3 linked regions of the Danio rerio genome follow. The protein of the gene in region 2 purifies or fractionates together with the protein of the main gene of each other region. This does not show direct contact. Links are inferred from orthologs where the notes say so. Each region holds a gene or a part of one and is shown on either strand. Other genes may lie near its edges.

Region 1 (6,942 bases), on a different chromosome or scaffold from region 2:
GCTTACTTAAACAAGAGGCGAGTGTGTACAGGTAAATATATGACCATAGTACCCGTTTAGTGTGTCCTTATTTCTAAACTCCTCTGTCTATGACCTGAAATCTTCATATGCTTTTCATGGCAGATGTTCCTTGAAATTTAGGAGCGTATACAAATACTGTAAATTATATACAGTTGAAAATCCCAATGAATATTTTGTTCTGGTTGCCAAAAACCAGAACCCATGTTTTATAAAAACCCAAAGTAAACAGGAAAAAAAGAAAGACCCTAAGTCAACCAGAAAATATATTAAAAGAAAATCAGTAGTAACATTTTCATGTGCTAGTAAAGTGCAATTCAACAAGATTTGCAATGTACATACAAGAAAAATGACTGATTCAGACCCTTCGGCCGTCACTCCTTCCCACTCTTACCTTCACCTTTCTGCCCCCAAAAATGCCACTCAGATCTCTTATTAAATTAACAAGCAGTTCAAACAGTCTGCAATCATTTTAGCATTCATTTCCACAGTTCTTGAGAACTATCTTCCAGTGCCCAGTCTCTGACCGTGGGTAGATTGAGCGCCTCGCTCTTAACCGAGAGCGAGTTGACCAGTTCGCAGTGGAACTTGCGGATGTGTCGATACAAGTCCCCTGACTGTGTGAAGCGCCGCTCGCACCACTTGCAAGCATGCGGCTTCTCGCGTGTGTGCACGACGGCATGCCGGCTCAGGTTGTGTGAGTACTGGAAGCTCTTGCCGCAAGTAGTGCAAGTGTAGGGCTTCTCGCCTGAGTGTGTCCTCTCGTGGCGTTTTAACGTGTACATGCAGGAGAAGGTTTTGCCACAGATGGAGCATGTGGGGACGTTGACGTCGCCTGCCGGCTTGGCCCGTACGCCTTCCTGTTCACGAAAATGTGTGCTGAGGTGGATTTGCAGGATATGGGGGCTGGGAAAGACCTTGTTGCATAAGGGGCACATGAAGATCTGGGTATGTGGTGCCCCCAGCATGCTGGAGACATAAGGCAACAGGGAGCTCTCGACTCCCGCAGCCTCCTGCACTCGATCACTGTCTCCGCCGAGGACATCTGTGTCATCATCGCCTCCTTTGTCGTCCCGCTCAAGCTCACTGGCCAGCGAGGCCTCGCGCAGAGCCGAGAGATGAGCTTCCAGGCCCAGCCTCCGCTGCGCAACAAGGCTGAGGTGGGTCCCGTTGGTGCTGGGTGGCTCCTTCACACCACTGTGCTCCATCTCATAGTCACCGCTCACCAGTTCATCATCGTCGGAGCCGGTGTCCTTTTCCACCTTCACTTGAACCAGGGCACTCTGGAGGCTGTCAGGGGTCACAGAGCTGCAGAAGTAAGGGTTGCCAGCAATGTTCTCCCCAGGACCTCCACCAAGGCTCGATTTCACAGAGAGGTCAAGCACACAATCAGTGTCAGCAGAGACTCTCCGAGATGCTGCAGAGCGACGGGACAGAGAGCCAGAAGAGCTGCTGGGGCTGCCGGCAGGGGATTTGCCAGCATCAGGACCATGCGTTTCTGCCTCCCTGGGGCTGGTGGTGGGAGACGTGGTCCGGTCGGAAGGCAGTCGCATCCACATGCTCCCTGGCTCCTGAGGGCTGTCCCGCTTGTTCTCCATGTCCTCATCATCGCTCTGCAGCAGGTCAGCAGTTGCGGGCCGGCCCGTGCTTCCACCTTCTGAGAAACTCTCCACCTTGTCCGAGCAGCTGGACGTGTCCTCTTCCCGCTTGGTGCTGTCAGCCTCAGCCGTGGCCTTCTGCTTGAGCTTCTTCTTGCACACCTTGACGATATCATACATGTGGAGGTAGCTGGCAGCAGCCAGCACATCTTCCACTGGAAGTGATTTAAACTGCAGCTTTCCTTCGTACATGAACTCAAGCAGGAGAGCGAAGGCCGGGGCTGTGACAATGTCGCTGTTCAGATGAACAATGTCCCTTTTGTCTAGCTGGTCCTTGTAAAAGAGGTGGAAGTACATGCTGCATGAAGCCAGCACTGCACGATGGGCTCGGAACTGGGCATCACCGACCAGCACAGTGGAGTCACAAAGGAATCCCTGATGCCTCTGCTCACTCAGACACTGTAGCAAATGTCTGCTGTGGTCTGGAAACTCCATGCTGTCTTCATAACCTGCAAAAGACCACAGATGTTAGTGAGGCTCGCTAGAACAACAATTGTTTTGTCTGTGCTCTGTGTGGAACTTCTCTCTTTCCCACCCGCTCCGTCCCTCTCTCTCCCTCTCTCGCTCCATGCACACAGACATACTCTCACACACTCTAATTCTCCCTCCCTCCCTCCACCCCTGTGGGAACACTGGAAAAATGTTCACCACAGTCCTGACATAAAAGGATTACAAAAAAGCACATGCAATAAGTATAAAATCACGGTTTATATATTATGCTAATTGTATTTTCCTCACTTGTGCACTTTCAAGTATGCAGTGCTGTGTTTAATATTGCATTTCGCACTAACCCTTTTAATTAAAAGTTTAAATCGCATGAGAACTGGGAAATTAAAACAAACATGCCAATAAAAATATTTGTATCGAAAATTACATTTAAAGCAATCGAGCCATGCACATCCCATCCCAATCACTCGAGTATAATCAGATGGCGTGATGTAAGGAGCTGAAGTCCTGATTCCACAGATGCCTGCGCGAGAGAATCTTTCCTGTTTTTTCCCCTCGCTGTGCTCCTGGAGCAGTTATTTATAATAACCCACTTTGGCCAGGACGCCAAGTATAGGTAACAGGCTTACAGGTACACAAACAGCTCACCATCATAGGCACACTGAATAAGTATACTAAGTACCATGATCTCTAAGGTTACGACAATTGAGGTATCAGAATATTAGCGTGACGGGCATAATCAAACGCAGACCGCCTGAAAATAAAATACAAACTAGATTGCACAATATTTTTTTTTTTTACAGACAAATAATAAAAAACAAAAAATGTTCAAATTAAAACTAAAGAGAAAAGAACCTGGAAATCACACCTGTTACCCCTGGAGTTGGTTCCTGTCTAAAAAAATGCACCAGCGTCATGTTCAACCAACGGACTTAAATGAACTCCTTTGAATCTTCATTTAAATCTGATTGGGATAGCAAGCCAAAGCCCCCCCACCCCACCCCAAACAGCGTTCAGACCTTCATTAATGAGGGGCTTATAGGGGGACAGGGGGATAACAAACCTCTCGCCAACCATCTCCTCCCCCTTTACCCCTCCCCAAATCTTTGGAGAAATGGAACATCCTCCCCAAAGAGGCGGTCCACAGCAGATTTACAATACAATCACTTTAAGTGCCCCGTAGTCTACATCAATCCTAATCCTTAAGATGGCTAAAAATAAAGATTGCAGGACAGCTCACAAGGTAGCAGCGATCAAATTAGGAGACTGGGAGGACAGAGAGGGACGGAGAAGGAGGCTTATGAACATCTGATCCAGCTGACTGAGACCATATGGCAGCTGCTGCCCAGATAAAGAGATTAAGACTAGGAGGAGTGCGATTACAGCTGTCTAGCCAATTCAGGCAGCTCAAATCTGCAAGTTCTAAATTAGTCCTTACAAACAGGGAAAAAAAGGAAAGAGTTGAGCAAAAGCCTGACGATGGGACATTTCGAAGAACATTTGCGGATTTATAGCATTTCAGCCGCTTTTAGAAGATTAAGAATTTTGTTCAAATCTCGCCATTTAAAGTAAAAACAGATTTTAACGGATTAACAGCACACAAACACACAAGATTTTCTTGTTTTAAATCAATAATGCTATAATAACTAACTAACCTACCGACAACACAACTGTATGCGGTCACAGCAGAGCAACAATTTGCCACCGAGACTGAGAAGTGACTGAAAAGAAGAGCCGTAAACAAACAGAATAATGAAACGCTTGCCTGGAAACCTCTTCATGGCAACAAAAAGTGTCACTTGTCCCCAGCCTGGTTACACCACACCAGCTCGAAATCCTTTACTTCCCATTTGCGCACACTCTGATGGCAAAAAGACTTAACGAGAGCTCCCTATTCAAAACACATCCCTGTTGCCTGGACCCCCCGGTACAGTACCTGCAGTACGCATCAACTTGATTAAGTCCACAGTTGTGGTAGCGCCGGCTGTAACTCCCTCCGCCGAATCAATGAAAGGGTAGAGACGCGAAAGAAAGAGAGAGAAAATCAAACTGTGAGGGACAGATGCAAAGTGGAGGAGATGTTGGAGGGGAATGCGATGCCTCCTCCTGCACACAGATCCGCACACACACTAACTCCCAGTCTGTGCGTTAGAAGAAAAGACTGGGGGATGGCAGCCTGTCAGCTGCTCTGACATCATGTTCAGATGGAAATGCTACCTCCAGCTGTGCTCCTTTTAGTGCCATATGCTACTCCTCTACACTCTTGCCACCAGCCTCTCCTTTATACAACTTTGTTTCTCTTTCCCCCTTTAAAAAAACGGGAGGAAGGGAAGTGTTGTGAGGTGATTCTGTAGAAAACTAGCCAATTCCCCCCTTCGGTTGTAATCTCTCAGCAAAGAAGAACTTGGAAATGGGTCCGTCTGAAAGCCGACACTTTTTTCTAACCTAGTTTCCTGCACTGAGAATTTAAATACCCTCAAGTTTTTTTTTCTTCCCCCCTCTCCTTCCAGTAACCATAAACAAAGGCCAGCACAGCACATTTGCAACTGACAGATCCACGCAGCTGATATTGTTTTCGACTTCTTTATGGTTCACTGGCCGCGCCATTACCGTCATTCATTTTACTAACCCTTTGGACAACTGACAGAGGAGGGGGAAAAAAGAAATAAGAAACAATGGGAACAATCATACGGGCCTTATAAGTACGGTTCAAACAAAAGCCACTGTATTCCGCTTAAGCACTTACAAAACTCCTTTCTTCCCAAGTATCTTGCTCATTTCTGTTCAACTTCTTTGGTACGAGCCAAACAACAGTTTCCTGTTTACCACAAAAATCAGCAAAACAAAGATATGCAACGACAATGTGAAGGTCTCTTCTGAAGGATGTCACACTCATGAATACAAACAACTCACTGATATGCACAAATAATACAAAACTGAAGAGTTCACTGCATCTGTCACGTGCATTACACTTGCTCTCAGGGGATTTTAAACAATTAACAGGAGCTTTTTTTATTTCAGGAAAACCACCATCACTGCTTAGTTATAATAATAAACAACACTTTACAGATTTACAAAGAAATTGGTTAACATAAAGATATAACTTTGCAAAGAAACTTGTTTTGTACAATGACACGTCAAAGCAAAATAGTTTCCAAACCTGGGAAGTTCTCCAGAAAGACCGAATGGTGCCTAGTTAGCCATTCTAAAACTTAAAACATATTACAACAAACAAAAAGACGCTAGAATAAAACAAAGTACGAGTCCACCTGGGTAGGATATGGTATTATAGCAGGCTACTCCTACACAAACACACTCACACACAGCGCACTGCCGACGGTCTTTCTCTGGATCCTGACCCCGTACGTTCAGGAAAAGCTAGCTTGCGTGGCTAACAAATAAAAAGTAAGCCTTCAACCTGCAGTGTTACAGTTTTGCGGCAGGCCCCGATGCCACGCGCTCGAGCAACTCATTCTGCGCGTCAAGACCAACAACAGTCGCGTGAAAAAGATCGCTACTTTTCCCCATAACAATCCAGCCCGTTCTCCAACCCCCTTTTCATCTCCTTAAAGAGCACCTCGTATCACAGGCACTTACAGGCAGCCAGGTCCAACGTCTTCCTGCTTCCTCCGTCTAATCCTCTCAGCGAGAAAAACAACTCGATTGACTTTCAACTGCTTTCCATAACAACCTGCAGTGGCAGGAAAGACGGAGCGGGCGAGCGGAGCGACGAGAGAGCTGCGGCAGCCAGATGTTTCCGAGCTGTTGCTACTCAACTCTCCGGTAAAGAGGAAGCGCTTGACTGGCAGCGCGCAAGCCAATGGAAGAGGCGAAAAGAAAAGCGAAGGCAAATTGGAAGCTGCCGCTGAGGGGGGAAGAGGGAGGGATGTCTCTTTCTCGGCGTAGGTTGACACCAGGCAACAGTGAGAAAGCAGAAAAAAAGGCCGAGCGAGCGAACGGACGGGTTCCTCGAGCAGACTGGCGCAGCGCGCGGATCGAGGGACATTGCGCAATGTTACGTGGGTACTGTAGTCACGGGCAGAGCAGCGGTGGAGAACAGGTGCACTGCAACTTCCTCCAGAGCCGCGGACACACACGCACACACACAGAGGTAGTCACATGGCTAGTGGAGAACGATATGGCCCCTTGAAATAATATTGCAAATGAGAAACAGACAGACGATATTAGCCGAGCGCCGAAATTATTTACAATTGAATAAAATAAAAAGTAACATGTTTCAAAAGTAAGCCCTAGTGTTCATAATCTTCAAATATTTATCGTACAAAATAGGTCCTCAAGTGGATGAATAATAATAACAATTATTATTATTATATGGAATAATAATTATTGTTGGAAATGATAATGATTATTATCTGAAATACTGCCAATGGGTTTCCTAGCTCTAATTGCGAGATTTAATGCGAATTTTATTGCCATTTCATCCGCAGACAAACAGCATTACACGCTTTTTAAAATAAGAGAGCACATCAACTCAATTTGAAGTTGTTCATCTTTATTCATTTTACATTGTTCTAGATTAAATTATAATGCGTATATGGCCTACAGATGAAAAAAATCAAACACAAATAAATATATAAATAAATAAACACTGCAACCCACTGTACTGGGTTGCAGCTGGAAGGGCATCCGTTGTGTAAAACATATGTTGGATAAGTTGGCGGTTCATTCCGCTGTGGTGACCCATGATTAATAAAAGGACTAAGCCAAAGGAAAATGAATGAATGAATAAATAAACACAAATAAATAACTAGAAACATAACTGGATAAGATTACGAATGATGGAAGAAAAAGACAATAG
Region 2 (4,635 bases):
ATAATAATATTACTCCAGCATTTCTTTAAGATTAAACTTGAATGATTAGACTTCAAGCTGACAATTAGGAAAAACTATCTTTTTTTCTGGATTTCTTCTTGTTTTAAGCATGCACTTAATTTTTATTTATTTATTTATTTCAACTTTATATAGAATAAAAAACAGCAAGTTTGTTCCTTTATATAATGTGTCTTGATTTGAGAGCATATAAAACAAGCAAAACTAATAATAATAATATTAAATAATAATAATAATAATAATAATTAAACCCTTTTTTTTCGCAGTGCAAGTACACACTAAAATATTTTTAGTGTTTATTTTTATTTTTTATTTTTATTTATTTACAAAAATGAATCCAATAATGCATAACAAGAACAAAAATGTAGCCGACGGGTCCAAAAAATAATCTTAAATCAATGTTCATTTTTTTTTACCCCGATTAGCAGATTTCCACATGTTTTAACATTTTTATTTGTATTATTATTATTATTATTATTATTATTGTTGTTTTAAATAAACTATTTAGGTTCTCAAACACATATACTGATTTAACAATATTTTAATAGCTAAAAATGATAACAACATCACTTAAGTATTTGTTTACTCCGGCAAAACTCAAGTGTGTTTCAGTAATGGGAAAGCAATGAAAATCACCTCTGATGATGATGAGAGTAACAAACAAATCACTAAAGTCAAATGTCCAGATGCGTGGCAATAATGAGAGCTGCATGGAAATGTCCAAATGCAAAAATCCTGTGGTCCAAAAACAGTGTTCATCACGCAAAAACCCCATCAGCATGTCCTTCTCCTGATTTCAGAGAGAAATATGAGCCGGGTGTGTTTCTGAATCTGGTAAATAAATGCAGAATCATGTGAACATGTTTGACAGCGGTGAATGTTTCAGATGCATAATGTTGATAAAGGAAGGCGGAATAAACGGCATAGTTATGATAGTGAATCTGCAGCGGCGTCATGAACAGGTGTGTGTGTGTACAGTATGTGTGTTTGTGTGCATCTATGTGTGCGCATATATGTGTTTGTGTATGTGTATATATGCATGTGTGTTTGTGTGTGTGTGTGTGTGTGTGTGTGTGTGTGTGTGTGTTAGGACGCGCTGGACGTGTTGGGGCTCCAGCCCATCTGATAGGCTCTCTCCAGTGTTCTCTTACAGTCCTGCATCACCGTACTGAACACAATGTGTGGATACTGCAGCACCAGTCTCTCCACTGTCTCCTCGTTCACCTGCAACAGAAAAACAAACACACACAGACACACAGTTTAGGAATTAGTCAGAATTATAGCACACAACTCAACTGTGGCACACAACAGCTCTCTGAAACTGACCCTTTCAGGCTTTAATCCTAATTGTGGTGTTTTGGTGACTGTCACTTTAAATGCAAATGAGATTGTGCTCTTTTGAGAAGAGGGCGGAGCTACAGACACCTGTGCATCATCATAGTGGCAGCTGTAAAACAGCAGTGTGTGTGTGTTGTCAGGTGTGCATGTGCGCTTCAGTGTGAGTGTGTGTTCATGCTTCTGTCAGTCTATGGAGACTCCTGTCATCTAAAACTCCACATCTATAATCCTCTTAGTCTATGCTGACATTATCTTCAGCAGCTCAAACACCAGGCCCGGCGCCAGGTAGTCAAAACTGAGGGGGCACTTTAAATCCATAGGGGGGGCACTAGACCTGGTGACTGATTTTGGTCTCTTGTTTCTTTCATTTAGGCTATTTATTCACATTTATTTTTACTTTGCATTACTGCCTAAGCTACTGACCTAAGGCAGTAATATAGGCTACGTTTTAATAGTAATAACAATATGCAGTTTCGCTATGACGAATTTTATTAACGATGGTAATGCATACCGCTTATTAATGCAGACGGATGATGGCTTCAGTGCCAAACGAGTGCTTTAAATCATGTTATTCTCCTTATTTTCGTTTTATTTCAAAATCAAATAACAGGCCTATGAATGTTTAAAGTTTTAGGTAAAGACGTCAAATTATGCCCACACATGCAAGCTGACCCACGAACAGACTATTAATTTAACCGGTAAATAAATATAGTGAAATCAGCTTAACCGAGTCATCCCGCTTCCTATATTATCCAACCAACATCAGTGTTAGGGAAAAGCTAAATGTTACAATCTAATGTCATTTAAAACATTTACTTAGTTACATTTTAAGGCATTAGTGTAGCCAGAAAAATACCTAAAAAGATACCAAAATTCACATGTTATTACTGTGAAAATTGGTTAAATTTTGGCACGGATAACACGCAACTCAGGCTATATAACTTTATTTTATTTTTTAAATCATTTTAAATGTAAAAACAAAGATTTATCTTAGGCTATCATAAGTGTGCTTTTTTCGTGATATATTGTAAACCATCATAAACCATTAGGTTACTGGCTTACCCGTAATTTTATTTATTAATTATTTTATTTATTAAGCCTTTTTTTAATAACTTGTTTTCAGGTTATTTTCATTTTAGGGCCATGAGTTACAAGTCAAAACAAACTCGATATGTTGTATTTTAGCTCTTAAAATAGATCTACAATATATTGTATGTTGTTTAATTTTGCATGAGCAAATAGCAGTATAGCCTAAATGACATATTTTTAAAAGATTATCATTCTGCCTCCCTGCAGCGCACGAGGTTTCTCGGTTGATCCGTGGTAAATCCACTTAAGCACTATACCTATTCCATTTATAACACTGCAAACTTGACTTCGCAGGCCGATCATCTTTAAACCCAAAAGGCATTTATTATGTGTTATAGCTTGACTGCTGCTGCATAATGGGATGTTTCTCTACACAACTGTAAAAGTGCACTTTTCAGCAAAATGAAAGCAAACTTTTAAAGGGTTCTGCGTTTTGTCAATTTTGGCTTAATTGTAATAATATTAATAATAATATTAATAAATAAATTAAAATATTATTTATAGTGTAGCCTACTGTGGGACTGTGCAGTAAACTATTTGTTTTTATTAAAACATTTTTATTAGGCTACATCTTCCCGAATAACTAATAAATGACTGGCAGTTGCGTCTCTGCTAAAATTAATTTAACAGCAAATTTAACAGCAAAAAAAAATGTGATTTTGCCTTTTAGAGCTCAAGAGAGTTGTTTAAATAATTAGTTAACCAAAGCATGTAATGAATTAAGCTGCTCCTATCATGTCACCCATTTTCTCCCTTGTGAGTTGAGTGCGCCTCCATCGCCGTGTGCGCGTTTTAAAGGCTATTTACGGGCGCACCTGACCTGACGCGGGGACCCGATCTCTGGACTATAGGACTAGCTTTAATCTCACCATTTTCATAATTCAATTGCTATGTCATATATTTTAAAATATTTAAATGTGTGTTCTGAAGGTTGGAACTACGGGAGTGTTAATATTTAATGACAGAAAGAATTTTCAGTTTGAGTGAACAATCTTTTATGAAAACTGGGGGGGGCACAAACTCTTTCTGAGGGGGCAAAGCCACCCTTTGCCCCCCCGTAGCGCCGGGCCTGTCAAACACTCTAATGGACAGACGACTGCTTCTCACTCAGGGCTGCTGTTTATGTTAATAAGGGAGAGATGGGCACTAGTGGGCGGGGCTTTCCCCATCTGATGACACGTACAAAGGCAGAATGTTAATCAAAGAGTTTCATTCATCAAGTCTGATTATAACAAACACAATTAATTCATGTTGACCATTAGAGGCTGGAGATATTCACACACTGCTGACACACAACTGGGGTTAAACCCCTTATAGAAGTGATCTCTGCATAATAAGTCTCCTGCTTCTTGAGCAAATGTCTCTTATTAAAAACTTTTCTATGTAGAGCCAGACTGAAACACTGAGGATGATGGCTGTTTGCAGTGTAGAGCTCTACATGTTGATATCAGACACACACACACACACACACACACACACACACACACACACACACATGCACACACACGCACGCACAAATGCATGCACACACACACACACAGACACACACAAACACACACACACAGCGCTGGATCTGATGTGCACTTGAAAGCGAGCGGCTGTGATGAAACACAGACGCTGCACATGTTCTGCGTGAGATAATCACCGCAGGGATCCAGGCCAAACCTTCATCATCTACAATGTCAAGTGTGTGAATCACATGCAGACTGAAGGTGAACATCTCACATGACCTGCTGTAATCACACACACACACACACACACACACAAACACACACACATACATGCACACACACACACACACGCACACACACACACATACATGCACACACACATACATGCACACACACACACATGCACAGATAGACACACAGGGACCCACACATACGCACACACACACATAGGTACACACACACACCTCATGGAGTTTAAGTGTATGATGACATCTGCTGCAAAGTATTTACAGATCAAATATCAAAATACTGATCTCAAATCAGCTTTATTTCATATTTAGCCATAGGAGCAACTCACTGCATTTAGGCATGTAGACATGGTCAAGACGATCTGCTGCAGTTCAAAGTGAGCATCAGAATGGGGAAGAAAGGGGATTTTGGGTGACTTTGAACGTGGCATGGTTGTTGCTGCCAGACGGGCTGCTCTGAGTATTTCAGAAACTGCTGATCTACTGGGATT
Region 3 (6,763 bases), on a different chromosome or scaffold from region 2:
GGTTCATTCTGCTGTGGCGACCTCTGATTAATAAAGGGACTTAGCCGACAAGAAAGTGAATGAATGAATTTAACACCTTCAAGATATTTCAGTAAGTTTAAGACTTTTTAAGACCCTGCAGACACCCTAAATACAATAAATAGGCTACTCATACATTCTAGAGTTCATCATAAATAATATTAAATAAACAAACAACAAATTACACCGTAAAATGTGACATCTGGAGACATACACTGCAAAAAATGCTTCGTACATTTTACTTTAAAAAAATTGAAGCATCAGCCTTTTGAGTGTTTCAAACTCATTTTATTTTAGTTTGTCCTATTAGACTTTACGTGTTCTCAACTTGCACTTTCAAGTAACAATTTTTAGTTTTGGGTTTCTCAAACCAAAAATGTGCTTATTTTGAGTGCATGTATTTGGACTTGTGGGGGAAACCGAACCACCTGGAGGAAACCTACAAAAACATGGGAAAAACATGCAAACTCCACACAGAAACGCCAACTGATCCAGCCAAGGCTTGAACCAGGGACCTTCTTGCTGTGAGGCAATTGTGCTACCCACTGCGCCACCATTGCTGCTGTATTTTTACCATTATTCAGTAAAAATTGAACAGAGCTTTTAAGTAATGGAAACATAATTTTATTATTTTTCAACCTTTATTAAGTATTGAATCCTTTTTAGTTTTCTACATCAAACAATAAACACAAAAATAGTCAAATGCATTTATTAAGTTGAAAATTCTCTTTTTTTAAGTATTACAGAATTTATACCACAATGTTAAAACATCATTTTAACTTTATTTTTTTTAATACTCTGGCAAAGGCTACAACTTTAACCCCTTTAACAGAAGCTATAAATGACAGAGATAATGATAAAGGGTTACCGGTATTGCTCTTTTTAATGTACACTAAAAATATTTTGTATTCCTTATGAAAAAAAGAAAATTGGACACTCTGGCAATTAGTAATCCAAGCCATTTTTTCCAGATCTTCAGCGAATAACACACAATTACCATCCTAATTTCGACATGATAATGGTAATGATTAGCAGGGCTAACAAAAATGAAGTCCTGCTCCTCCATGAGGGTGAGCTCGGAGTTTTTAATTCACCTACAGTCAAACCGGACACGCCCAGAGGAAGCTGCATGCGCTTATAAATCGTCAATCGTGTTATCATGTTTGTAGTGTAGGAAATGACGCCACCCACTGGGTGACAGGCTTTAATAATCCTACAGAAAGTAGCCTATATTCTAATCTAAACAATCAAGGAAATATTCGTCGTTTTTTTTTTTTTTATCTCAAATGGCCCTTCAAATACACCATATGTGATCTTAAATTTGATGTTGTAAAACTGTAAATAGACATGTCTCAGTTTATTTTTTTAAGTTTTAAAATGAAATATGGCGGTTCGTTCCGCTGTGGCGACCCCTGGTAAATCAGGGATTAAGCCTAAAGATGAGAGTGATTATGGTACGAGTTGGAGATAAAATGAATAGATGAATAAAAAAATCATGACAACAACATAAAACTATTTTGACAGTGACAGTGCCTTTTCTTGCATTTTATATAGCTTCGCTGCGATAATGTATTTTAACTATCTGTATTTGTAATACAATGCAGTATTAAAGTTTCCAGATATTTCAAATTGTGTGATGAAATATGTATTAAAAATCAACCAGTGTCAAAACTTGTATATTTAACCATCCACCTCCATTACCACCTGGAAAATACACCTATGCATGCATTCATCGCGAGAAGCTTTTTACTCCAGCGAGTCAGCAGCGACCCACCTGTCCTGATCATCGGGACTCGCGCGACAAACATGGAGCGCCGGCTGTAATGTCACGCGCCGGGGAGGGCGTGAAAGGGATACAAAGACTTATTGGTTCGAGACGTGTAGCCCTTTAGATGAAAAAGCATGCGGAAAATGGGTGCAGTCATCGACACAAAAGACCCCTGGCTGTTCGGCGTCACCCCCATCTTCCTTTAACACGAGCCCCCCCTCCTCCCTCTGACCGAGATGCATTGTGGGGGAAGTCGTTGCCATTCGACCTCTGCGGGGCCTGCGCGGACGCAGACAGAACCCTGAAATTCATTATGCCTTTAAAACCCCTATTTATTTCCGCATAACCTACATACTCTCACCAGGAGGCCGGAGCGCGGAAAAACGGCTCATTTCATGCGGAATACTTTATTTACGAGAGCCGCGATCGGATTTTTGTTTTGTTGAGGAAGTGAAGATTGTAATTTATTTCTAGAAAAATGTCCGGAGAGCGAAACCGCAGGTCGCTGGCTTTCCGAGGAGGTGGATTAGCCGTCACCGGTCCCAGCGCCGTCGGAGGAGGCAGCAACGGCAACAGCTGTGAGGCCCCGGCCTGTCAAGACCGACATTTGAACGGGAACAGACCGGATCAGGAGGACGATCGGGATTTGGGGGCGAAAGGACCATCGCTGGGGAAAGTCGAGGGCGGGGGGTCTGTCAGCGACAGCACGGAGCCGGAGGCAGAGGAGGACGAGGACCCGGAAGGGGGCACTTGGACAGCGGGGAAACATAATGACAGGGGCGTTTTAAACAGCGTAATGCTGAAAACCGAGGGCTGTAAGAAGGCGACTGGCAACGGTGTGAACCGGGAGGACGGGAGCACGGGAGAGGCGGAAGAAACGGCCGCGAGAAAGCCGCTGCTGGAGATGAGACCTCAGACGCTGCTGCAGAAACACTCGCTCTTCCAAGCCTGCTGGCTGGAGGAGTTTCCCTGGCTCAGATTCAGCCACGAAACAGGACTCATGTCTTGCTCCTGGTGCCATAACATCGCCACCAACAACAGCGACGAGTTGGTAAAAGGCAGTCGGAATTACAAGCGGGCCTTGCTGCTGAGACATCACCTGTCCTCGGAGCACGGCAGGAATGACCCGACCAAACAGGTACGTTCGCAGTCTGGTATAACGGGGACACTCGCACCGCCGACGAAGACGAGTTTAAAAGGGTTGTTCCGTGTTTCGTTAACAAACGTCGACGTTTTTATTCCTATTTTAGAGTGGGAATGTTGTTTTCGAAGAGGTTTAGCGAGCTAACAAGTATGTTAGCTATACTCAAGTCGGAGGTAGCAGGTTAGCATGTGTGAGCTAACTGGATCAGCGCTGTCAATTCGTGAGGGGAGCTTAAAACCCTCGACTGCCTCGTTTAAAGTATAAATATTTATCTTAGATGTCATATGCTCATTTAAAGCCTTACAGAAACCATATTGTTTCCTTTTTTACAAGAATTCGTTGTGTGATTGTGTAGGATTTAATACGAGATATCAATTATTAAACAGACCGCAAGTGAGATTGTGACTCAAAATGTTCTCTCTGTTTCCTGCGTTGCACTGTAATTATCAACCCTGGTTACCAGGGTAACTAACCTGATTGCCACAGAGGTCACACAATGGCAAGGGCTTGACCCTGCTACCTTTGGGGAGCCGCACCCCTTCCCAACCCCCTCGCTGTAAAAAGTGACCTCTGGCACATCTCACCCTCCCCTTTTAGGGCATCTAAATTAGAGGCATTGTGTTAGGTGACTCCCCAAGATCCATAGATAGTGTGTGTCATTTGCTACATTGGACTGGAGTGAATTATGTCGCCTGTAAGGACAGCAATGCCTGATACGTGCAGACCACTGCAATGAGCAGAATGAGATTAGACTCGAAGTCATATCACACCAGAACAATGTTCTATTGGTCATTTGCTCGTATAATGCACTGCAAAAGTGAAATTTGATTCATATTTCTTCTGTCTTCTATACCCGGAGGAGATGTCGTTTAAGATAAATTGTTATTGATCAATATTTGTAATGCTTCAGATTCCATGTGCTCTATCAAGCCACAGAATGACTGATTCAAATACTTAATTCCACCCAGAAGATGCCGTGTTATTGGTTTGCCTGTGAAATCCCTTAAGGATTGCGTGGTATGATAACGTCCAGTCTGTCTAATCAGGGTGACACAAAGTGTTCCACTAACTCAATTTATACCCCTCACTAATTAGGAAGGAAAGGAGGAGGAGATTACCACTGACTCCCTAGCAACACGGGGTTAAGACGCTCCAGCAGATCTGAACCCTGTAACACTTTCCTGTTCGCTCACTTTGAAGTGACCTCTGTCAGTCAACCTTTTCACAGTACTGTTTCTGTTGTATTGAGTTGAATGTGTTATAAATGTGCAAAAATACACACATCGCACAGAAAACTTGGCATATTGTCTGACATCGATTGTGCGTATTAAAGCTCTGTAGATCTATCTATCTATCTATCTATCTATCTATCTATCTATCTATCTATCTATCTATCTATCTATCTATCTATCTATCTATCCCAAGTACTATAGACAAATTAAAAATGTTTGTCTGTTTCTCCTATACTATACTAATTCCATCCATCCATCCATCCATTAATTAGTAAATATCCCAAATACTATAGACAAATTCTATCTATCTATCTATCTATCTATCTATCTATCTATCTATCTATCTATCTATCTATCTATCTATCTATCTATCTATCATTACTAAATATCCCAAATACTATAGACAAATTATAAATGTTTGTCTGTTTCTCCTATACTATGCTAATTCCATCCATCCATCCATCCATCCATCCATCCATCCATCCATCCATCCATCCATCCATTAGTAAATATCCCAAATACTATAGACAAATACTAAAGATGTCTATCTATCTATCTATCTATCTATCTATCTATCTATCTATCTATCTATCTATCTATCTATCTATCTATCTATCTATCTATCTATCTATCTATCTATCTATCTATCTATCTATCTATCCCAAGTACTATAGACAAATTATAAATGTTTGTCTGTTTCTCCTATACTATACTAATTCCATCCATCCATCCATCCATCCATCCATCCATCCATTAGTAAATATCCCAAATACTATAGACAAATTATAAATGTTTGTTTCTCCTATACTACACTAAATCCACCCACCCACCCACCCATCCATCCATCCACCCAACGATCCATCCATCCTCCCACCCATCCTCCCACCCATCCATCCATCCATCCATCCATCCATCCATCCATCCATCCATCCATCCATCCATCCATCCATCCATCCATCCATCATTAGTAAATATCCCAAATACTATAGACAAATTATATCTATCTTATCTATCTATCTATCTATCTATCTATCTATCTATCTATCTATCTATCTATCTATCTATCTATCTATCTATCTATCTATCTATCTATCTATCTATCTATCTATCTATCTATCTATCTATCTATCATTACTAAATATCCCAAGTACTATAGACAAATTATAAATGTTTGTCTGTTTTCCTATACTATACTAATTCCATCCATCCATCCATCCATTAGTAAATATCCCAAATACTATAGACAAATTCTATCTATCTATCTATCTATCTATCTATCTATCTATCTATCTATCTATCTATCTATCTATCTATCTATCTATCTATCTATCTATCTATCTATCTATCTATCTATCTATCTATCTATCTATCTATCTATCTATCTATCTATCATTACTAAATATCCCAAGTACTATAGACAAATTATAAATGTTTGTCTGTTTTCCTATACTATACTAATTCCATCCATCCATCCATCCATTAGTAAATATCCCAAATACTATAGACAAATTCTATCTATCTATCTATCTATCTATCTATCTATCTATCTATCTATCTATCTATCTATCTATCTATCTATCTATCTATCTATCTATCTATCTATCTATCTATCTATCTATCTATCTATCTATCTATCTATCTATCTAGTTATGATTTACTTTTGTCAAAAAGTGTGTGATAGCTGACAGGAAGACCACAATATCTTGGAAGAATAGCATCTGTCTTAAAGTGGGCTGTGCAGAACATTAGGCTGTCTGAGTAGAGAGAGACTTTTCTGGTAGGCCACATCCTCCAATAGCCAATTTCATAATTGTGATCCATTATGTTTTTCAGTGCAGCGACTGTCCGTCATAATGGGCTAAATTTCTTCACTGGTCCATATCAAGCTCCTGTAATTTAATTAGCCCTAAAGCAGGGTATCTGGGATGCCTCATTCTCCTGTCTGGACTTAAAACTATTTGCCCTTTCTTCCAGTTATTAGTGAGCTCCAATGAAGACGAGGGTCTCCACCCCAGTGCTGTCTGCCGCTCTGAGATATGTGTGTATTGGGTCAGGGGGGGTTGTTGTGGTGGCGTTGTTGTTGTTGGTGCTGGTGGGGGAGAATTCCCTGGAATTTTGTATCGATGAGCCCTGCTCTTTGTTGGGAGGCCCAGATTCTGGCATTCCCCTCCCACACCTTGGGTCAAGCACACTGCTGCATTGTTCATGCATCTGGATGAGGGGACCAGGCGCTGGCCTCAGGGGCTGGGATGGCTCAGGAAGACTATGCGCAAGGAAAACAAAACCAACGTTCCTGTTGTCTGAGGCACAATGTCCCCCTAACATGCCACTTGCGTAGTGTATTCTCACTGCGGCACTGGTAGGTGATAAAGGCACGGCTCTCTGTTGCTGAAGGCTATGTGTTTAAATTTTGGGGCTATTGTTGGCTTGCTGTAAATGGAACACGTTGGAAGTGTACAATAGAATAATGGGTGTTGGCAACACATTGCCTGAAGAGCTTTAGACGACTCTCTCCTCAACTACTGCACAGGAGTAGGGTAGTGGTATTGGTGGTGGTTGTATAATGTTCCCGTTTCGCATCAAAATGAAAGTCTGGGCTGA

Evidence for each region.
Region 1: the proteins of fbxl17 (region 2) and zbtb18 purify together in Homo sapiens (co-immunoprecipitation; 3 studies listed by BioGRID and IntAct, with this or other methods). This does not show direct contact. The link is inferred for Danio rerio from reciprocal best matches to the Homo sapiens genes FBXL17 and ZBTB18.
Region 3: the proteins of fbxl17 (region 2) and zbtb10 purify together in Homo sapiens (affinity purification with western blotting; 3 studies listed by BioGRID and IntAct, with this or other methods). This does not show direct contact. The link is inferred for Danio rerio from reciprocal best matches to the Homo sapiens genes FBXL17 and ZBTB10.

Annotation. Positions count from the first base shown.
Region 1 is NC_133188.1:11,855,767-11,862,708, reverse strand, and holds the start of zbtb18 (zinc finger and BTB domain-containing protein 18), read right to left. Parts: upstream 4,255-6,942; 5' UTR 4,073-4,254; coding exon 4,060-4,072; intron 2,126-4,059; coding exon 498-2,125; 3' UTR 1-497.
Region 2 is NC_133183.1:2,020,126-2,024,760, reverse strand, and holds the end of fbxl17 (F-box/LRR-repeat protein 17), read right to left. Parts: intron 1,243-4,635; coding exon 1,105-1,242; 3' UTR 544-1,104; downstream 1-543. UniProt on the Homo sapiens protein: Substrate-recognition component of the SCF(FBXL17) E3 ubiquitin ligase complex, a key component of a quality control pathway required to ensure functional dimerization of BTB domain-containing proteins (dimerization quality control, DQC).
Region 3 is NC_133194.1:34,341,778-34,348,540, reverse strand, and holds the start of zbtb10 (zinc finger and BTB domain-containing protein 10), read left to right. Parts: upstream 1-2,509; 5' UTR 2,510-2,582; coding exon 2,583-2,924; intron 2,925-6,763. UniProt on the Homo sapiens protein: May be involved in transcriptional regulation.